Linked DNA regions of Schizosaccharomyces pombe. Changing the gene in region 1 together with any one later gene gives a genetic interaction. Each region holds a gene or a part of one and is shown in the gene's direction. Other genes may lie near its edges. The genes, in order: gmh6, get2 and clr1.

Region 1 (3,600 bases):
ACAACATACTCAACATCAGGTTATGATGAAGTTGTCGTTTGCTTAGCGAATTTTTGCTTGAGGTATACAATTTACTCAGTCCCTTCATTGGCTTTATCAACATGCCATAAATTAGTTTAAAAAATAATTTATCGTCATTACAATATCGGTATATTAGAATATAATTATATACTTTTACTATGAAATAATATTCTGTCTTATTCTCTTAAACAAAATTGCTTTGAAAATAAAAAAAATGATTGGCTGTTTAAAAATACTTCAACCGTAATATTGTATTATTGTAAACGAATATGTAGTGGTATAGCAATCGAATCTGGGGCCTTTCTATTGGTTAAGTAATTGAATAATTTTAACGGCCGATCCGTGAATCTTTATACCATAACAATTTTTTAGCTAAAGACACGGAATCGAAACATCGCTAGGTGATGAGTTAGTAAAGAATAAATATGGCTGCAATATTAAGCATGGAGAAGGACAACAACTCCATATTTCTTTGATTTGCTAGTTAAAATCTAAATTGCTATTGGTAAAGTACACAAAAATACAGTTATTGCTGGGCAAATTTTAACGTTATCATGAAATAAAAAATCAGTTCTAGAAAATAGTTACGACTTTCTTCGAAGCTGCAAACTTAAATTCCAAGAATACTTTGAATAGTCTCTGTAAGGTCTGAAGCGAATTCCAAAATGCTATCATTTGCTTTTCTGAGTACAATTATCGCATATATATTAAAAATTTAAGGTGTAGTGCATCCAAAAAAAAAAGAACGATTCCAACAGATATATTAAAGAATCTTAATTTATTGATACTTACATTCCGATTGTGCAAACTAAAGGTTAGACTAATATTCTTCTCAAAAAATTATACAACAATAAAAAGTGAAACCGATAAATTGAAAGCGACGCTTTGCATTTTAATTTAAAAATCCAAGCACTTCAGAAAAATGTTTGCCAATGCAGCAGAAGAAAAAGCATCAAAATTGAAGTATAACGAGGTTTTACAACGTTTAGAATCTCGTTAATCACAAACGTTTGATATATCGAGAATTCTTCTTGCTTCATTACGATATTTATTAAGTTAGCGATGCATTTTGGTATCTGTTTTAACGATAGTACTGCAGTGAGTTTTCCTTGTGATCTATTATATTGCAATAAGAAGATAATATAAGTACCATAAGTATAGGTATTCTGTTAAGTAGGTTATATAGTTACCTGTCACTAATACTGCTTATAACTAAATCTCGCTCCTCAGTTCATGTAGCTCTATTTAATAATCTTTCTAAAATATTTTAACAATGGGAATCCATGTGTATAAAGATAGTTATATATAATTATTGATAAACATATCTTAACTGATAATCCAACATATGGCATATAGTGATACTGTAACGTAGCGCATATTACGTAGTGTAGTTATGCTAATATATTATAAGGAATAGTGAGTCATAGCGTATATACTTATTTGAAATGTACTAAATTTCAACGCGTACATGCTTTCCTTCCCTTCATTATAACTACATCAAAAGTTTTAGTAGCTTTCCTCTAAAGCACTTAACTGAATGGTAACACGAGAATCGGTCGAAAGTTTATTTTATTTTTTATAGGTCACTCTCTATAAAACCTTGTATCTCCACTTTACCGCTACGTTCATTATATTTGACATACACTCTTTCAGGACACTTGGTGATTATTGCTTTGGGTAAATAGGGTATATTTTTTGGTGTTAGTAAACGATAAGATTAAAAAGGTACTTTAAATTGTCTCGCCTGCTATTGTGAGCATGTGTGTGCTGTGAAGTGCCTACGAACATCTACCTCTCACATTCTGAACTTATCTAACATCTTAGTTTAGGCTAAGTATTTTATAAGAAATCTTAGCTTTTATTGCATCAATTTTTAAAGAAGGATATTTACACCGCTCTTTCTTTTCTTCGCTATCATTTTTATTATCATTGGTATTTTTTCATTACTTTGAACATATTTATTTATCCAAGGATTGGTCAATTCTAATTTCTCTTACATACTTACAATGCGTTGGTATTCTTATGTTATACCAGCAGTGATCCTCAGCATAATTGCTATTTCTGGAGTATGGTGGAATGCTACCCTTGGTACTAGGCTCGACCAGAAAGTACAACTTTTCTTAAATGAACATTCTTCAATTTTGAATGCAGTTTACGAAACAACTACTATCGTTTACACAGAGCCATTACACACCAGTGTCAGCGAAACGATTACATCTACGTCTTTTGTTACAGAAACTACGACAGTAACCCCAACGGTTACTGCCACAGCTCAAGAGTTAAGCACACTTAATCCTCATCCTGAAAATTCTAAGATAGTCCTTTTGATGGGTTCCAATGCCCAAAATGACCCTTCCTCACCCTTAAATCCTTATATTAGAACGATTATTAAAAATCGCCGCGACTATGCAGAACGTCATGGTTTTAAGTTTGAATTTTTAGATTTAGATGAGTACAAACCTTCAATTGGCGACAAGCCTGCCCCTTGGGCTAAAATTCCCATGATTAAAAATGTGATTAGAAAATATCCAGATGCTGAATGGGTATGGTGGTTGGATCACGATGCTTTAATTATGAATCGTGATTTGAATCTGGTTGATCACATTTTGAAGCATGAAAAGCTAAATTCTCTTTTATTGCGCGACACCGAATATTTTAGTGGATTTGGCATTGACTCTGAAGGATTCCGAACACCTAAAAATCAAGACCCTGATGATATACATTTTATCATTGCTCAAGATTTTAATGGCATTAATGCTGGCAGTTTTTTAATAAGGAATTCTGAAGTAGGAACATGGATGCTGGATTTTTGGAATGAACCACTTTATAAAGAACATAATGGTGTATTTGTCGAACAACAAGCCCTTTCTCATATGATATATAGTCATCCCATTGTGCATAAACATGTTGGGCTAGTTACTCTTCGTTCAATAAACGCATATGATTCTTCTGATCCTGCTTGGGGATATGAAGACGGTGATTTATGTGTTCATTTTGCTGGGTGCTTTGTCTTTCAGACATGTGCACAAAATTTTGAAAAGTATGGCAAGATTATCACAGAAAAGCAAGGCCATGATTGGTTCGATCCATCCGAAAAGGAATATATTGAACAACGCCTTTTCCCTCAACCTTAATCAATACCTTGTTATTCTTGCTATAGTGCTTTATATTTATTCTATTATTAATCTATGCAATGATCAGTGCTATATAACTCTAATTGTAAATATAATATTTACTCTATTCATCTGTACGATCGGTTGGTGTTATTATATTACTGGTTATTATTTATTTAAATTAATGCATACAATTGACCTAGCATGATCATGGTTCCCAGCTTTCACTATGACTTAACCTTGCATTTACGATACAGTCGGATAATTCAGTCTTAATCTTCTTGCGACGCTTATGTTCACTAAATTAATAAGCACTCCTAATTGATTAATTAAAGAGTTTGATTCATTTTATATCCAAAAGGATGTTCAATAAGCAATTACTGGCTAATCGAGGACAATTTCATCAGTCGTGAAATTTCAAAATTCATTTTTGAATCTTTGTCCAAGATCAACTTGTTTTGAATGT
Region 2 (11,311 bases), on another chromosome or scaffold:
ATATATATTGTTCATTGGCATTTTTATATTGTTCCTCTTGCATTATATCCTTAGCCATTTGCTTTAACTTCTCATCGTCATAAAATTTGCGAAAAAGTAAGGCATGATTTGCAGCTTTGCGAAGCTGCATGAGAACATGACCGGCCGATAATGACTTGCCATCGCTTTCTTCATCGTTCTTACTACGCTTGTTTCGTTTATCGTCTCTCCGAAGTTGTTGATTTTTTTGCAAAGCAGCATATCGATTGTAAATTTCCAACTGGTTTTCTGATAACTTACAATGTTCAATAATCTGAGTCTTTTTTGGCAAATCATTAAGAACTTGGTTTTTCCGACGGCGAAGGACAAACGGAGTCATCATAGTCTTGGCACGGCTAATACGTTGCTTAGAAAGTAAGGCTTGTTCTATATCCGCATCTGCGGTTGGTTTAGCTTTAAAAATTACATCCAAATCGTCCATGTCACTGTCAAACATATTAGGAAGAATGAAAGCGAGCAAGGAAACTAATTCTTTGAGATTGTTTTGTAAAGGAGTACCAGTCAGCAGCAGTCTAAAGTTAGCGTTAAGGTTCATGAGATGTTTGTAACGCTCCGACATTCTATTTTTCAAATAATGACCTTCGTCGTAAACGCAGACATCAAAGTTTTGATGTTTAAGAAAAGATCGGTCCTCTTTGTTGTTCGTAGCTAACTGATAAGTAGTAACCAAAATGTCATACTTTATTTCGTTTTCTTCTATTGCTTCGCGAATATTTGCTCGCTCTTGTTGACTTCCGTAGTAAGGTTCCACGCGGAGGCTAGGGCAAAACCGGGCAAGTTCCCTAAGCCAATTTTCAAGCGTTGAAGAAGGGACTACAACTAAATGAGGTCCGTGGTGTCCTTGTTCCAGAAGAAGTGCAAAAAAGGCGACTACTTGGCAAGTTTTTCCAAGACCCATCTCATCAGCCAAAATCCCTGACAGTTTCTGTTGATAAAGCAAATGTAACCAATTAACGCCAACGAGTTGATAACTTTTAAGCTGGACGTCACTTGCAAGAGTTTTGGGTTGCTCTGTAACAAATTTAGGGAAATCACTGTTATCCGCTGCCTCGGTAGGAACCGACTCCATGTCAACGATGTTCAGTTCACCATTAGACATTTCTAATTTAATTCCCCACGAGGCCATACCTTTAGATATACGATTACCAAGAAACTCGCATTTGGCAATTAGATTATCAATTGCATAATATCCTTCCATGGTTTCCATACAAGCATTGACGATTTTTTGGCCCATAGGATTTTTTTCACGACGCCTTCCACGTCTACCAGGTTTGCTAGGAACGTCATCAGGATGTTTGATGATACAAGCTTCGGCAAGTGTCTGGAAAGGACGATGCTCTAAAAGGAGTTTCGAGTGGGACAAAGGGCAACTAGCAGTATCAGAGAGTTCCTTAGCAGTACTGCTGTTTATAAAATTGAGTACAGTTCTCTCTAACGCCGATGTATCCCTGTGAACTATGGCTTCAGGCTCTTCTTCTGAGTCATAAAATTCATCTTCTTCAGTAGTAAGTTTCTTTGATGCATTGCTAGTTTTTCTGGTATAAGAAGGCATAAGGGAAGCTTGCGTAGAATCATTTGGCATTTGTATATATTTGTCCCGAATCGAGCGCTTTTGGGATTGAACCGTACGGTTAGAGCTTCCATAAGTAGGCATATTGCTAGCAACGGGACTTTGCTTAAACCTTTTATGCTCTTGTATTGGAATACCAAGGTCACAACTCAAATATTTTTGAGATAAAATAGAAAGTGCTGCAGTCTCATCCCACTTAGTTTGAGCAAGTGTGTTGATCACCTGGTGAATCGGAGCCTGGGGAACAAATGAGCGTATCCATTGAACAGAACGAATAATAGCATTAGGAGAAGTAGTGGTTACAGGAGGAAGCTCGACAGGTGGAGCGGGAGGTGTAAGCAAGGTATTGTTGACTGGTGGGGTAGTCACGGGATTTGCGGAGGAGGAACGAGATCGCTGAGTAGAGCGTGGAGCAGAACGCGCTGTGGAGCGTGCAGATGAGCGCGAGTTTGAACGAACGTAGCTGGGTAAAACATTATTGACGGGTTGTGCTGGAGGCTGCGCGGGTATTGCCGATGTAGGATTGACAGCACCGATAGGATAGCCGTTATTATAAGGGGAACTATAATGTGCATTATAACCACCCTGAGGTATTGGAACAGTGCCTGGATAACCAGATGGCATACCAGGCATTGCTGCGGGAATTCCAGCATTGGGCAAAGACGCAGTATTGTAAGAGGGCAGGGGGTTATAAGAAGGGACTGGCTGCGATGATTGTCCCACGTATGAATAACCAAAATTGTTGTTGATTGCAGCGGGAGCATCTCTGGAATAAGCATTGGACATTGGAGTCGACGCATACGAAGAAGTTTGCGAATAATCAGTATTCATAAATTGAGTGTTCTCAGAAGTATTATACATTCCACCACCCATGGAATTATTCACCCCGTACATAGCGGAAGACTGTTGGACAGGGGGCGTACCATAGCTTTGAGGATTTCCGTATGAAGAAGGCAAACCTGTTTGCGAAGAACCATAAACTTCCGATTGAGGATTTTCGTCGGAAAACTTTCGTTTCCCGTTGTCCGATAAGTAATTTGAATTGTAAGGAAGCATCTAATTTAAAATCACATTAAGTCTTCTGTATTTATATATCAAATATCAGAAGTAGCACGTTTGGTTCGTGTTTGGGGCGTGCCTGACTCTTACGGGAGTACGCAGAAAAAAAATAATGGACTCTTTAAATCTGGATATGTCTTAAGTTAATTAAAAAAATTTACTGGATTTTAACGGTAATTATCGCAATGCCGTATATACTTTAACCTGTCAGGAATAGTACACTACGCTATGCTACACTACGTTGCGTATCACTATATGTCATATGTTGGAATACTAGCTAAGATCCGTTTATTGATAATCACGGGTAACTATCCGTCTATATACATAGATACCCGTTGATAACAACTATTTAGAAATATTATAAATAGCGTTACAACTGAACCTCGTTCCTCAGTTCAGTTATGAGCTATATTAGTGATAGGTAACATTATAACCCAGTTAATACAATACCTATACTCAGTTGCTACTTATACAACCTGTGTATTGTAATATAATAGACCACAAGGAAAACTCACCGCAGTTCTACGTATCCTTAAATCAGATACCAAACTGCGTAGCTTACATAACCTAGGCTTGATCTTATCGTTATATTAAATGCTTTTTATTACCTCAAAAATCTACTTCAACAGTTTGATTTCAAGCTAAAATGGTAAATTTTAATGCATAAAATATACCCATTGAGTAATCTATTTGCTCTTTTTTTTATACCGCTCGTCCGCTGATGAAAACGTCAACATAGCAATGCTTGTATCAAGTGAAGATGGATGGTGTGAAATCACTTGTTATAACAGAGGAGTAATTGAGTATTGCTTTTTTGATCACCACTGTTTGATACACCCTTGCCTGCTAAACAATTCAATGTGAGTTTGTAAATTGCAGTTTTATTTATGATCATCGACCAAGCCCTAACATACATTTGTTACTCGATTTAATTTAATTAATTTAATATTTCAACAAGGAACTATGAATTTGGAGACTTTGTCGCCCAGGTATTTTATTATATGTAAACACAAATTAAGCAGGTCGCACGTATAAGTCTACCGTATGTTATAAACAAAGATAATAAATTTTAATAAGATGACAAATAATTTCAGGGACTTTCAACATACGAATATCAATTGTCTACTTTTCATGTTGACAAAACTTTGACCTCTTATAAAGCAAGGTCCCAATAAATTAGGTCTCCACCACCATCAACAACTTGCATTCGTGATTTAAAATGGAAAGGAAATCCCAAGTTTCAGATACAAATAATAACTCTATACCTACGTAAGTTTATTAATTATTAGTTTATTTCTTTACGCCGGACTGCGAATTGGTTTTAAGAAATTCCATACAACCTTCCACAACAGTCTATAATCTTAGGTCTCTTATATTGTTTATTCCTTTTATATTCTTAACTAAATATGTTGGAAATGAAAACTTACTAACTTTCGTAATAGTAATGTTCTGCTTAAGTTTGTGGGTTTTAGTGTCGCATTATTTACATTACCACTTATAACTTATTTTTGGACGTTGAAGACTTTATTCAAAGGTATATACTAATTGTTGAATAATTTTGATTTTTACTGATAAATTTTGTTTTAGGATATCAAACATTGTACGCAGGATTATCTGCAGCTGTAATGGTCAATATTATCTTGGCCTTGTATATAGTCGCAGCCTTTCGCGAAGACTCCGGGACTCCCAAGAAGGATATAAAAAGGGAATAATAAATTTTCAGTAACCATTTTACTACTATTTTGAGTTATGACTTTTGCATTTCAATTCTAAATCAAATTTTGAAGCGGATTTTCCTTCTGCCAACGTATTTAGGTGAATCATTCGATGTCTTTATTTTTTTTCGTTAAAAGTATCGCAAAATGAAAGACTTTAGCTGGGACTATCCTATAATCTACTGGATTTTGCATGTATGTCTATTGAATAAGGTGCTACCACAAAGCTGTTGCTGGTGATACTACTCCTTTTTGTATCTGAATTAATGAACGGAAATTTTTTTGTTTAATTTTTCGCTAGTCTGTAATGAAAATATGTGTCTGTTCTTTAGTTTTTTGTAGTTTCCCAAAAAACACGAATTAGCAAAATGCAATTGATATGGCAATTTCAACCAATTTTATAATTAAATTTTCCTTTTTATAATATAAGGCTAACATGTATGATTCTTATCAAACATAACAGCTGTAGGAATTCAGTATTCTTCTAACACTTATGCATCACTATTTTCTCTCACCCCAAACCCCTCGTATATTGGAAAGTTGTTCAAGTGAGCATTATTGATTTTTTCCCAATATAATATTGATAAAAATATATATCTGTAAAAAAGTTTGGTGTTAATTATTTATTTTATTCTGTTTTCTGCTGATTCAAAGACTTCGAACATGTCGACTGCCAGTGAACAAGCTCGACTTAGACGTGAACGTCGACTGAATAAAATCAAACAAGGAGGTGCATCTAGAATCAATCAAATTTTGGGACAGAATTCAGATGACAGTCAATCCGATGTTCGAGCTACAGCTTCCGAGGAAGCTGTACATTCTGAAACTGCAACACCAGTAACGCCAATGTCTTCAGGATTCATGGAAAAGAGAGATGATACCTTCAATGCTGATCAAGTGGAATATCTTCCTTCCCAAGATTACCATAATTTGGAAAGTTCGCCTTTTAAACTTCAGTGTGATTCTCCATATAATGTACCACCTGAAAACATGTTTAATCAAAACCCTGATTTTGCAAATTTTTTTCAAGCTATGTTACAATCCGCAAAGGAGGGATCTGATACAAATTTTCAAGGTGAAAACGAACAAATTCCTCAAGCTACAGCTCCTTTAAAAAACTTAGTTGAGAAATATGCTCATCTTTTGGCAATTTCTATAGTAGTGATTGTTTGTTATTTTAAACATTTGGTAAGTCCTCATCTTCCTTTTTTGAAATTGTTTTTTTGCATACTAATATATTTATTTCAGCCATTACTTCCGTGGACATTTACTGTCGAAGCTTGCTTGTTCTCTATTCAATTTGTTTTGGACCGTAATAATGGACCTTCTTATTCTCTTCTAGCATCTCTGGCCTCTCAGCTTCCCCCTCCCTATGGAGCAATGATCCGTCATACAACAAGTTATGTTCCGTATTTCACACAATTGATTACAGATGCGTGTATGACAATATTTGCGTTAGGTTTATGTTGCTATTTTTATCCGTCGTTGGTGTATTAATAGTTGTTAATTTTCAGCATTTACTATTTATGAATCTTGGTTTTGCTTCGCAAATTGGTGATCGATTAATTAGCATTCAATTTTTGTTTAGATGAAATAAACTAACTGATTAAGCGAGAAAGACTTTTCAAACCCTTAGGAATTCAATTTTATATTATCTTTTCAACATCTAAACGATTTATATTCTAAAACATACTGCACTTCATTTGAACTGCTTTGCAACACATGCCATATTTACGATTGTCGGTACGTTTTATTTATTTTCTCTTTTAATTCAATGGTAGCAATAGTATATGATTTAAAAAGCTCTGTTTATTGTAATTGTAGTATTAATTAAAAACAGACTACTTAAAGTAATTTCTGGGATAGCTGTGAAAACATTATAACTATGATTTTTAAAATCTTTTATCAACTTATTATTGAAATAAAATAAGTAATTGAGAATTGGCTTGGTTGACTGTATATATGTAAAACAACTTCGTCCGAAGCGCTACAACAGCATGCAAACGTTGAAACGGCGAATTCTTGTTATAGAGAAATTTTTCATATAAAACCATACGTACATATTTTGCTATTTAAGTTCCAGATTGCTTAAAAGAAAATTGAAGTGGTAGCACCATTTTTATAAATATATGCAATGGAAATGAAAAGGCGCGTTCGCGCGGTGCGTCGAGACCAAATTCAAAAAAGATGGCGTCCATTAGAGGATAAGCAGCGCCAAGAAATAATAATTATTTTTAGGACGTGTTCAAGGTAAGTAATTGAGAATCATGTTATTGCTAAAAGTGCTTGTGCTTTTTAGCGCTTACTTGTGTACTGAAAGGGAAATCAAAGTTTGCTGTTGATGTTTACCTGGAAAAGTCTTTTAAGTACTTTTCCAAATTTTTTTAGTCATTATGTGTACGTATGCTAACTGTGCTATCGTAACAGATTGGTTTTGAATACAATAAAATCAGAAACAAGAAAATCTTTGGCCGAGGAATGGTTCATGAATATACTTTTAAAAATCGAAGCTCCTCTGAGAAATTTGCCTGTACCAAGGAAAAGAAAAGAGTCAATACTGTTCTCTCAATTACTTTCTTCGAATGTAAGTTATTAAGTCTTGATACGCATACATACGAAAGAGATATGACTAACATTTTTAGATGCAATTGGAACAGCAATTATACAGTGATTTGGACCATATTAACGTACTTCAACAGGAATTGAAGGTTGAAACTGCTCGTTTGGAGAATGAACAGAAATCTTACGAAGAAATGAAACAAAACATGGCCATAAATAATTCACGGCTTGCCGATTTAAAATCTAAAGTAAGTTTAAAACACGAACAGGCGAATGTTTTATTCAAGACTTCATCTTAACATATGACACAAAATGAGTTTTCCATTGTTTCAGTTATGTAAATAATCAAGCAATCACTAATATTTTCTTAGCTTCACCCTTATTTGAAGAAAGGCTTAAAGATATCCCATGATAATTTTTCAGACTCCAACGATTTCTCGTTCCAAAAGAAACTGAATACAGAAGATTCTAATACTTCTAAAACCTCTACATTGGATATGTATAAAGAAAAATTAAAGCCATTTACGAAAACTATGCAAATCCATGCAAATAAAACTGTTCAATTAAGTCAAACTATACAAAAAGCTACTCTTCTTTTACAACGACTAAACAATACAAAAAATATAGGCCTAAATAAGTCATCCAAACTTAAGATAAAGAATATCTAGACATAGAAAAGCTAGAGCTTAAGACTTGATGACTTCTACATGTTAACATATAGTCCCTGGCCCCGAACCATGACCAACCCAAAAACTGGATTAAATCGTCCTTTAATATAAGCACTCAGACTAATTGTCCCGTCTTCATTGAATTCTCACAAATAGTGTGACGACAAGCCAACTTAATGGAGTGCTTGGTAGATTCCAGCAGCTACGGACTTAATTCAATTAAAGGACTTTTTGCTAGAGTTTAGGGTAGGGTAAGCATAAAATTATAGTAGCATTATAGTATCGATTTTGAAAGTAATTTCTTTTGCTTTATTTAATCATTAAAAGATGCCGTAAAGGATTTTGTGCCTTGCGGAATTGTCAAGAATTGTAGTATTACTCGTAAACGGTCGTGATTGTTATTTAACAGTAGTAACTGCCAAAAAAGACTTAGTTTTTTATTTTTAATAAAAGCCTTCAATATTATTTAATAAATAGACGCAAAATCATAAGCAAACTGATTTTAAATTCATTTGCGCATGCAGTCAATAATTATAAAAGCAAAGCAATACACGGGTCTTAGATAGCTAGTCAAAACAATAGCAATGCGTAAAAAAGTATTGATTTTGATTAAAACGGAAAGTTCATATAGGAAGCTGAGTATGACTTTCTAAATGGAAAAGTTCTTGAACCACAGGATGAACAAACAACACATATAGCTCAGAGATGCAAGTGCCTGAGACAGCTAAGCAGAAATAAGTCCATGGAAAACTTTGAAAAACATAAAATAAGTGAATTGAAAGGAACAAATAAATAAGGTATTTTGACAATGGACAGAGAAATTTGTTTGAAGATTCTTCCTTTTTACACGAATACAATTGGTACCAAGCAGTTAAGATCCCTGCTTGAATTGCGGTCGTACTTTGGATAATTGCGACCAACAAGTAATGTGAATCTGTAATTTTGTATGCAATAAAGCAAGGTATCAAGACAGCAATGTTTGGAATCACTGTTAAAAACTGACAGAAAAGCAAGTACTCCTTATGACCCCATGAACGTTCAATTTCAACGCCATACACCGAGAGAATGAGAATACTTGAAAGTAGCGTAAAAACATTAGCATCAACAAAACTTGTGGTAATTATTGTCCATGGAAACAAGAACAAAGCATTTGGAACCAAATGAAAACATAAAAGAAAGAAAGTTACAATAGAACTCCTACCAAACACTTTGATGTAGATGCTGATTCCAAATGATATTGCAGAAAACAATACCTCTAGGATAAGAAGCCTTTTCGTAACCGAAAACTTGGAGAAATGATTCATTGATAAATTTTAGGTAAAAAAAAATAGTAAAGTTCTCGTTACCGTAAAAATCATCGACGTCAACAATTTTGGTCTCAAAGTAAACAATACCAGGATACCTCTAAGTAAATGGTGCAATCCGAAATAAAATTTCTAGCTGTTTGCATCTAAAAAATAGAAACTCTTACGAAAACTGAATTGGCCAAAGATCGCTTCACTGGAATATAAGCATAATAAGAAATTGCCTATATGGATTAATACAGTTAGTAAATTAGAAAATGAGAAGTTGAGATAAGACACTGCACCTGGTTTTTTAATGCCTTCTCAATAATCTCATTTACAGGGACATTCGGTAGCGGGTAAGATGATAGGTAGGTCATGGCTCGACCAGATTATAAACATCCAGAAAATTACATAACTTTGTAGCTTGCCGATTCTAATAGAAGATAGAAAAGAAGTTTAAACTCGCTGATATATTTGTTTGAGCACAACCTGGTTTATCAAGTAACTATGATCGGTTCGGTTGAGGAGATAAACGCATTCAAAGTTAGAGTAAATAGTAAAGGGAGAAATTAATTTTTATTATATTTGGCAGTTTTTTGAGGGAAACCCTGATGAGAAATTGCTGCATATCGCTCTGCTGGGTTAAAACAAAGTGTTGATTCTCTTAATCGAATAATGTCTTAAATTATTAGTCATAATTCAAATCATCTTTTCCTTTCTTAGAATATAGTGAATGCATTGTTTAGAGCGGTCTTATATCAGAAAGAAGCATTCGCTTGACCTTGAAACATTTGTAATAGAAAATCACATTTCCTTAGCATGATAAGCGGACCCTGAATGTTCAAATTATTCAAATAAAATAGCAGTATATTTTAGAAATAAAAAAACCAAATAAGGCTCCTACCACTCTTGTATGGAATGTTGAGTACAGAAATAGCATACGAATTCATGAAAGTCAGAAAATACAATCTGGCTGCCAACTCCTTAACACAAACTTCTAAAAGTGAATTTTGATTGAAATTAAAAGTCGAAGAGAACTATTAGCATTGCCGTTTTAAGTTGTTAAGAGACCGACTTCAAAGAGGGAAAACTTTACTGAAATTCCTCGGATACAAAAAGTGGGCACTCGATTATTTTTATTTTGATCAAGCGCTGTTTAAATAGTAACCTACGTGCAAATAATAGAGCAGGAAGATTTAATCCACAGTTTCAGCCATCGCACGTATCTAGTTAAATTTCGGTAACTAATACTTCCACAACTACTAAAAACCGTCTCAATGGGAATTCGTCGACAATCCTTCAAGTTAAATCCGTATTGACAGGAAAAGAAAGAAAATAGAAGACTGTTGAGGTTTTAAGTGAAACTCGTTGACAGACCTTAAGATTTGACTTTAATTTACGTGGGTAGCTTGAACCATTATAGATTTAGAAATTGTGGAGGAAATGGATACGAATCAAGTTAATTATATAATCTGGAGATATTTGAAAGAATGCGGTATGTTAAATAGTTGGTTTTTGTGAATCATAGTCGCTTCATCTCTCCTTTTTTTCGGTTTCGTTAACATTATCGTGTTTTTTGTTGTAGGTTATTCGCATACTAAATTTGCATTTGAAAGGGAAACAGGCATCCAAAATTTAGACAAACAATGGGGAAGTACTTGCCAGGTTGGCGCTTTAGTCGAAATTCTGCAGAAGGGTTTACAGTACGTGGAGCTCGAAAAGCACTACGTTGATAATCACTCCTCAAACGAAGAAGCTAGCAAAACATCTATAGATGGAGAAAGTCTTGTAAATGAAAATCCTTGTAAACTCCCTTTCTATCTCACCGTACCTCATATATGCGAAACGACACTGACGAAAGCTGACTCTACCAATGGGTTTTGCGAACACAATAATTCTAATGATCACCAACTTAAAATTTTACAAGATAAGGGGTCTGGGTCGCCTTCATCTCCGGTCATGCCATTTAAGGATAAAATTGAGAAAAGGGATATTGACATTACTATGGCCGATGAATCAAACGTAGAGAAGGATCCGGCTCGACCTATAGCCGTGTACAACAGTTCACCTGTCACGGAAATAACAGAAATAAAACAGGTTACTTTTACTGGCGGCGAAGACATAAAGTCGGATTTTTTCAAAGTAATTCCTACCAAACACCCCGTTACCTGTGCAGATTGGCGTCCACTATTACAAGAAAATTACCATGTTTACGAATTTTCTATTGGTATGACAAACGCTACTCTGGCTTCAGTTAGCATTTGTGAAGAGCAAAATGATTTCAAGGCAAAAACAGATTATTGTCTGCAATCTTCTTTCGATAACCAAGATATCACTGGCGTTGCTTGGAATGTAAGGTTCAAATTTTTTTTTGAAATACTAACTTTTAGAATTCTGGTTCTTTTTTAGCCTACG
Region 3 (8,629 bases), 1.4 Mb from region 1:
TAATCTCTGTTTGTTCTCATGAATTGTTGTATCTTAGATTTATTTATCTATCAATTTTATATAGCAATAAAAAAGGTATTGATCTTTTAATCCAATATTGCCTTGAAAATATGATGGACTGTGGGTTTTGATAATTTATTTAAACGGAATGAACAATGTAGCTTCATAGTTCTTATAATCAACAATCAATTTTACAAGGAACAACCCGCAATGAGTTAAGCTTAACTTAGTCCCTATGTTTCAATTGAAAGTTGTAATTGTTGAAGAATGTTGCAAAACTTATGGAATATATCAGTTTCAATTAGTTTCATTTCATTAGAGTTGAATTTACTCAAAACATAATCTGAAACGTCCTCCCTATTCCTTGACTCACAACGTCCAATTCCCAATCCAATCCTGTAAAAACTCTTTGAATTAGTAATGAAATTAAATGTGTACCTTACTTCTTTTCCTAGGAATTCTTGACAAGAGCGAATCCCATTGTGTCCCCTAGCAATGTTAATAAGTATTGCTTTGGATATTACTTACCTGTGAGAGCCTCCGGGCAAACGAAGCTTGACTTTGCCTAAATCTAACTCCAATTCGTCATGCACAACTACATATACGATTTTGTCTAATGGCGAAACTTTGCGCACAAAATCATTAGATATCTTTTTCAACTGTTTCCCGGAATCATTCATGTATGAGGTGGACAAAACCAAGGTGAGATTTTCTTTGGTACTAGGCCAATTTTTTGGAAATGCCATGCTGTCAGCGTACATACTCACCATTAATTTCCCCAGTGAGTGTCTCGATTTGACGAACGCTGATCCTGGATTTCCTAAACCATAGATCTTTCGGATTAGTATCCCATTTTGGAAAGACTTTTACGGATCATAACAATTTTTATAGAAACTCTTCTTTTAAGGTCGCAATGGTTAACTTCTGCTTTGTTTTTCCTGGCAATTAAAATCTTAGGAAGATGTTTTATTGCCATACGGAACTTTGGTACTTATTTTAAAAAAAATTTTTTTTGATTGAAAAAAAGCTTTAGCATCCTCAACAGAATTTTCAACTTACCAAGAATTGTGTTTGCACCATGGACTTTTTTCTGAGAAAATTTTTATTTAGGCACAAGGTTTTATTAAGATTAATAAATACTTTCCAACTGATTGGTTTTGGCCTACTCTTTGGTATTTAGCACGGTTAGCTCCCCACGAAAATAATATTTTAGTTTAGATTAATAAAACAATGTTTCAAACTACGAAGAAACTTGGAAACCACCTATTTCATGTTTTAGCCATTTAATTATAAGGAGACTACTTATCTTAACTTTTAGTAACGTATTATTACGAAAATTAATAAAAAGTAATCAAAGTTATATGATGGAGGAGGTAATAATGCATTTTAATATAGGTATTGGCTAACTGGTATTCTAGGAGAGATTCAAAGCAGAGATTTTTCACGTTACACAAGAAGTTTGTAATCGTACAGCTTCTGAATTAACTGAATCAGAGTCAAGAAATGTCATTGTAGATGAGCTTTTTTGTGTTGGAGTTACCGAAATGGTTTGGGAACAAATACGTGTATTAGCTAAAGACATTGAGGCTTTTGCAGAGTACGCTCTTGATGGAAATAAATATTTTAATCTTATTAACAAAATAATAGACATGCAGGACGGAAAACGGTTCAACCACAGGATGTGCTTTTATGTTGTCGAAGAAATGAAGGATTATATGAGATTATCAATAATTTTCACAAAGAATCGATCAAATCTAAAAAGAAAAAGAAAGAAAACAGTACAACATAATGCACATCCATTGTGGGTACAGTGATTATAGCTCATTTTCAACGCTGTGTTATCGTTAATAACTTTCTATTACATAGATTGACCATTGTCAAGACTTATTATTAGTTCTTTTTTATTTAATGTTATTCTTTGTTGTAACAAATTTCCCCGTTTTTTGATATCTTAGTGTGCATCCCCGGCTATTCTTTCCTTCCCGTCGTAGTTCACTTCATCAATAGCAGCAGCACCACAATAAATAGTGCGAACAGTAATTCGAAGGGCTGGTCCCAAGGAATTCCACCTTTTGGAATTTAATTAATGGTAATAAATACTTTTTGTCACATTTAAAGACACAACTGCATGCAATTCGTTGTTAGATATGGCGGAACCTGATATCAGTTCTTCAGAGACATTGACAGAATTGCAACAACTCAGACTCCTATATTTTTTCTGCTTTTATCATGCTGCTCCATTCAATGTGAAAACTCTGGTTCATTCACTTATTCCACCTGGCGCTTTATCATATTTATTGTCGACGTATGATATTTTGCGTCCATGGTTGATGGCTTTACGAGTCAGGGAGGGTCCAGTCAACGATATATCTACAATTGTTCAATTGTATGAGGAAATTGTAAAAACTGGGTTCTTCATTAATCCCCCTCCATTCGAATCGTACTCACAGACATTAGTAGCTCGGATAACTACTTTGGGTCGCCCAAAGCTACAGGTGCAACAGGAAGCTCAATCTGAAGTTTATCAACGGGCTTCAACAAATACACAACAACAAGTCTCCAATGTATCTCATGGTAATTTCAAACCCAATTCTTCGGTAAATACAGAACCTAACACTTCAATTTTATCAAATTCTAAATATGCTGGTATTAAACCATTCGACTTTCAGAGTTCATCACAAAATCCTGGATTGGTTTGCGAACAAAAAACATTTTATCAGCATCAATTTCGTCCTTTTTCTAATCTCCCATCTAATAAGTCTAGCCCGGTTAAACACGTATCTCCAAATGTCAAAAATAATTCAAAGAAAACTGCTTCCTCAGTCAACTCTAATCATTCTTCTATTCCGTCTTCTATAACTAAGTCCAATATATCTTCTTTAGATGTGTATGGTTCAGAAAAGCTTATTTCCTCGGGAAGCCAACAGCCAGGGCATGGTATGGTGCAAACAACTTCCGATAAAGTTAACGCGTCAGCATCTCTTTATGACCGCTCACCTTCAAAAAAAGATATCACAAGTTCCCGTAATACGTCTTCTTATAATCTTGGAAGTATGCGAAACCCTTCAACCTTAAAAAATGCAGCTCATGCAAACCCTTTTGAAGGACTGCGTTTCCAAGGCTCTTCAGCAGTGCTTAAAGAGGGGCTTAACTCTACTGTTAAGAAAACATTTTTTGATAATTTAAACTCTGAAAAGGTGTGTCCATCTGTTTCTCCGTTTTTAACACCTGATAATATTGCATCCTCAATCCTATACTCTACAGCGTCTTTCTCTCGATCAAAACCTGATAGACCGAGACTTAATTTATCATTGGAGCTAAAGCTAATGCAAAACGAACTAAATAAAGGTCAATTGAAAAAACAATTCAAAGGCGATTTGCGTAACCTGGCCGATTGGAATAATCTTTCGTTAGTGTCCTCGAAGTTCCCTTCATTGCCAATTACTAACCTGCGACCGGATGGCTCTTTTTTGAAACATAGGCGGTTTAATGAAGAGATTGCTTACAACCGCCAAACTCTTGAAAAAGCTATAAAACAGCTAGACTTATCTCCTGATAAAGTCATTCAACTTCGTGAACAAAATGGTGTTGCAGTTAACGGACGTGTATGCTATCCTACGAGAAATAAACACTCGGAAATCTCTGCTCAATCAAGCTCTTCGTTAGGAGTTACTAAATCTCTGGCGTCGGAAGTGTATTCCTCTTCAACTGTCGACACCATTAGTAAACTTAATACTGATAAGGATAATTATTTGATTAAAAGCAAAAAGGAACCAATACAACAAAAATCTGTTAGCTCGGAAACTACTTTGGTGAAACCGTCATCAACTTCTTCCTACATTGACACAACTAACAATGTCTTGAAAACGAATTCTAGTTTTAAGTCGTCTGGTTTGACAAGTGGGCCTAGAAATGAAAAGGAATTATTGCCTGAGGGAATTCCGACATCTCATAATAATTCTGAAACTCAAGCTCAAACAGCTGACGTATCAAACATAGCAGCTTCCGCCGATGGAATATATAATTCTGATCAGGAAAAACCTCCTGAGAAGCTGGACGTTACAAAGAGAGCTTTTGGACGTGAAATAGAAAATTCGAATGAAAAAGAATTATTGACTAGCACATTTTTAAGTCCTTCTGCAGAATCTCAGGTTTGTCTTGCAGAAATAAAAACCATACGTCCGGGATTGGTTCCTAAAAAGCAGTTTTCTGTGGATCAAAATAATGTAATAAGTGACAATACGGACTGTTCGCTTCCTAAACCATCTAACTCTAAGCTCTCCAGTATTAGTAGCGATGGGGATGCTTCTAGCAATCGAATGGCTGTACCCGATAAGTCTCCTTTTGTTCATGCTGCACCAAATTCTAAAGCATTGACGAAGGATAGTTTTTCTACTCACATTAGCGTTTCATCTCTTCTTCATAGTGACAACGAGATTTCTCCTATCGATTCAACTCGTAAAGATTACTTTACTTCAAAGGACAGCAATCTTCAGACTCTTAAAGAAGATGCGTCTTCAACAAAACAGGCTAAAGATTCTGGTACTAATGATTTTGACAAACTGATATCTGGCAATGATGTATCTAAAAACAATTCTGGCGAAGAACAAAGCAGAAGCGCATTGAAGCCACTAATTTCTGGGAAACTATCAAGTTGTGAGTCGATCAACTTAACCAAGGATATTTCAACTGTTAAGCGCAAAGAGTATTTTGGAATTGAATCGACGTCCTCAAAACAACCTTTCCATGATACTGGTTCAATTAAAATCCCAGCAAAAAGATCTTTTGATACCATTGATAAAGATTTTAGAAGTTCTAATATTCCATTTGCCGACAAAATTAAAGAGGACGGTGGAGATAAAAATGTGATTTCCTCAATTCATATTACAACTGAGCTTCCTAAATCAATGCCCGTTGAAGTACCTACTAATGCTGGTGCTCAAAGCGATCAAAGCAATGTCGTTGACTCCGAGTCTTTGAATTTGCGTGAGAATATTTCTACGAGCGTTGCTGACGTGAGCCTTAGTCAAGCAGGGAACGAAGCAGTGCTTAGTAAAAAGGCTTGTAAACCGCTTGTGTTAATTGACCCCTTTGAGGAGAAAGTACTTAAAGCCTTTAACATGTTGAGTAAAGGTTATGCTGAATACCGTTGTCAATGGGAGGGTTGTTTAGCCAATCTTCATTCGTTGGAAAATTTTATAAAACACGTTTTATTGTTACATCATCCGAAAAGTTGTTCTGTGGTTAAATGCCTATGGGCTTCGTGTGATATGGTTTTGCCATCAGAAGAGTTTGAAATGCATTTGCGCGGCCATTTGAACAACATCCGGCTTAATTGTGAAGTTTCTAACTGTAAAAAGTGCTTTTCTAATTATGAAGATATGTTCAAACATTTGCAGCATTCACATTTACCTTTCAAGTTCACACCAGAGTCTTTCATTAAAATTCGAAATGGCAATGTCAAAGAAGAAGCACGTCGTACAAGAAATGCTTACACACAGAAGTCTGGTGAAGTAGAATGTTTTATGGAAACTTGTACACCGATAGCTAAACCTGCTCCTGCGAATTGGTATCCGGTTCCTCCACCTGGTTTTAACTCATCTTTACTTTCCAGACTAACCCAAAGCAATCAGTCTAAAGATAAAATTATAGCTGCTTTAGCTAAGAGGAATGTTTATAAATCATTTGCGGGTTTGTACGATAGTAAAGGTAAAAATGATAATACTGGGTACGATTTTGATTCAAATTATGCCCGGGTTGGTCGTCATGGTTCTTTTATTTTACCTGTCAGCAAAAGTGTCCCTACTCCATCCTTGCTAATCGAAGGGTCTATTGTGCAACGTAAAAATATAAAAATAGAATGATCCGTCTTTGTACGTTACAAGCGTGATCTCAACAATTATTTTCTTAATTATGGTTTAATCCAACTGGCGTGAATCTCTCTGAACAAACATCTTATGTCTTTTATTTATATAGTTATTGTATGTAAAGTAAATATAAAAAATTATTGATTGTCCTTAATTTACTGTACACGCGTCCCTTCAAGTACATACATATGGTTCGATTGCTTAACTGAAGTAACCGCCGCTAGGAACCATCATAAACTTTTATCATTTTTGGATTCATAAAACCATTATAACAGTGGCTAGTTAATGAAAATAATCAAATGTCTGGTTTTTGAAATAAATAAATTCACTTGAAAGCCCTTCCATTCGAAATTGAAGCACTTTTTATTCCAAGGCTTATTTTTCTCTTATTTAATCAGAACAAATGGCTAATTCAGGGCTTTGGGAACTTATAACAATAGGATCCGCAGTTCGAAATGTTGCCAAATCATATTTAAAGGCTGAAGCTTCGTCAATTACAGCAAAACAACTGTATGATGCATCGAAAATAACCAGTTCGAAAAGGTCCACAAGTGACCTGCACGTTCAATTATTGGAGAAATACAGAAACGGTAAAGTCAAACATGCTTCCCAAATAAAAGAATTGGGGTTATCTTCTAAAGATACGAAACGAACGCTTTTGGGAAATTCTTTAGATGTTCAGAAAGATGCCTCCGGTGTCAAACATTTGCAGGAGCAATCTTCTAAAGAAATAAAAAATCCTATTTCGCAACCGATTTTACCAAATAAAAAAGATGAAATAAGTCCTGCTAAACCTTCAGCGATTGATTCTAGTATTAAAGACGTAACAAAATCACACCCTGCAACGAATGCCAATTTTACAGCAGACTTTGAATCCTCTATTGAAGAAAGCTACTCTACTGAGAATAAGTCTCCGGTTATACTTTCCTCTTCTAAAGTTCCTTCGTCCCAATGGAGTCGTCTATGGCATTACGGAGGCCTTGCAACTTCCTTGTCGGTTGGGGCTATAGGGGAGAAAATGAAGAGGATGTGGGGAATCAGCAAAGACGATGGAGCTTTGTTACTGAATGAAAGAAATGTAGAGATTTTGGTGAACAAACTGACTCAAATGCGTGGTGCTGCTTTAAAAATGGGTCAAATGCTTTCATTCCAGGATAGTAAGCTGATTGACCCACGTGTTTCTCAAATTTTGGAGCGTGTACGTGATGGAGCACATTCCATGCCAGAAAAGCAACTAGAGCAAGTTATGGTTAAAAACCTTGGAAAGAATTGGATGACTCACTATTCAGAATTTGACAGAAAGCCAATGGCGGCAGCTTCAATTGGACAAGTTCATCGAGCTCGTTTAGCATCTAATCACATGGAAGTTGTGGTGAAAGTTCAATATCCTGGGGTGATGTCTTCCATTGACTCGGATTTGAATAACCTAGCTTATTTGTTGAAAGCTTCTAGAATACTTCCTAAAGGATTGTTTTTAGAAAACAGTTTAGCAGCCGCAAGGAAAGAACTGAAATGGGAATGCGATTATGAAAGAGAGGCCGCTTTTGCTGAAAGGTTTGGATCGTTGCTCAAAAATGATTCTGATTTTAAAGTCCCAATGGTATTTCGAGAAGCATCTGGACCCAGCGTAATTACATTAGAGTACTTACATGGTATTGCTTTGGGAAAACAAAAATATTCACAAGCTACAAGGAACCATATAGGATATCTGCTGACGAAACAATGTCTAAGAGAGATATCTGAATACCATTTTATGCAAACCGACCCTAATTGGTCTAACTTCTTATATAACGGAAAAACAAAAAAAATTGAATTACTAGATTTTGGAGCATCAATTGAATATGATGAAAAGTTCATCAAGAAATATTGCCGACTTTTACTAGCGGCGGCTCATCGTAACCGAGAAAAGTGCAAAAAATTATCTGTTGAACTAGGATACTTAAATAATCATGAGTCTGCTCAAATGATAGATGCGCATATAAATTCAATTTTCACTCTTGCGGAGCCATTTGCATTTGATGCACCTGACGTCTACGACTTTGGCGATCAAACGATCACTGCGAGGGTTAAGCAGCAGATTCCTGTTATGCTTGATTTAAGACTTCAACCTCCTCCAGAAGAAACTTATTCATTACACCGTAGACTAAGCGGGCATTTCCTTTTGTGTGCCAAGCTTGGCGCCAAGGTGAGATGTAAGGAATTGTTTTCTGGAATGTTGAAACATTACGCTGATTAAATGTTTTTATATGAAAAAGCCATAGTACCATAGCAACTTGATGACTTAATACAATGATACAAATTTTTTTTTTCCAAAATAGATAACACATTGGTTGAAACCCTATATGTGTGGACCGTATATTTAAAACATATTGTATTAATATTATTATCAATCAACCCTAAAGACCCATAAAGCTTAATAAAAATAAGCTTATAATGCTGGAGGAGCACCCAAAATTGTTCCTTTACATGTTGGCTCAATGTTCATGAAATCCTTTTGTTTCCCGGCTTCGGTTTTTCCAAATAGATTTTCATTCAAAGACTTATCTTTGGAAATGTTTTTCTTGCTGGCATTATCAATCTCTATGTCCGTTTGTTAGATACATAATTGACGGTGGAAATGAAGCTTTCCTGTAAAACACACTATTAAAAAAATTTCTTACCCATTGCAATATCATCTAAATGGATCCCCTTTTCAGCAAGACGTTTCAGCGACTAAATTATTGGTTAGGTATTTCTTTAAAATGCTTAAAGGTGATTTAATC

What was found.
Region 2: mutations in gmh6 (region 1) and get2 together harm fitness more than expected from each alone (negative genetic interaction), as found in Schizosaccharomyces pombe (one large-scale study listed by BioGRID).
Region 3: mutations in gmh6 (region 1) and clr1 together harm fitness more than expected from each alone (negative genetic interaction), as found in Schizosaccharomyces pombe (one large-scale study listed by BioGRID).

Annotation. Positions count from the first base shown.
Region 1 is NC_003423.3:4,407,616-4,411,215, reverse strand, and holds the start of gmh6 (alpha-1,2-galactosyltransferase), read left to right. Parts: upstream 1-1,509; 5' UTR 1,510-2,027; coding exon 2,028-3,155; 3' UTR 3,156-3,600.
Region 2 is NC_003421.2:184,213-195,523, forward strand, and holds get2 (GET complex subunit Get2), read left to right. Parts: upstream 1-4,901; 5' UTR 4,902-5,046; coding exon 5,047-5,571; intron 5,572-5,631; coding exon 5,632-5,880; 3' UTR 5,881-6,189; downstream 6,190-11,311. Other genes in the region: protein Fft2, read right to left, coding at 1-2,665; vacuolar H+-ATPase assembly protein Vma21, read left to right, coding at 3,888-3,937, 4,111-4,202, 4,256-4,380; kinetochore protein fta7, read left to right, coding at 6,518-6,633, 6,811-6,967, 7,026-7,190, 7,314-7,610; protein pdh1, read right to left, coding at 8,234-8,914; Set3 complex subunit Hif2, read left to right, coding at 10,340-10,391, 10,482-11,248, 11,287-11,311.
Region 3 is NC_003423.3:2,995,091-3,003,719, forward strand, and holds clr1 (SHREC complex intermodule linker subunit Clr1), read left to right. Parts: upstream 1-2,000; 5' UTR 2,001-2,147; coding exon 2,148-5,864; 3' UTR 5,865-6,046; downstream 6,047-8,629. Other genes in the region: peptidyl-tRNA hydrolase Pth1, read right to left, coding at 234-407, 444-489, 529-833, 881-976; protein mhf1, read left to right, coding at 1,362-1,373, 1,419-1,597, 1,648-1,789; ABC1 kinase family ubiquinone biosynthesis ATPase Coq8, read left to right, coding at 6,271-8,103; ribosome biogenesis protein Alb1, read right to left, coding at 8,296-8,447, 8,528-8,579. UniProt on the Schizosaccharomyces pombe protein: Regulates silencing of the mat2 and mat3 loci. Organizes the chromatin structure of the mating-type region where it also participates in establishing the 'cold spot' for recombination.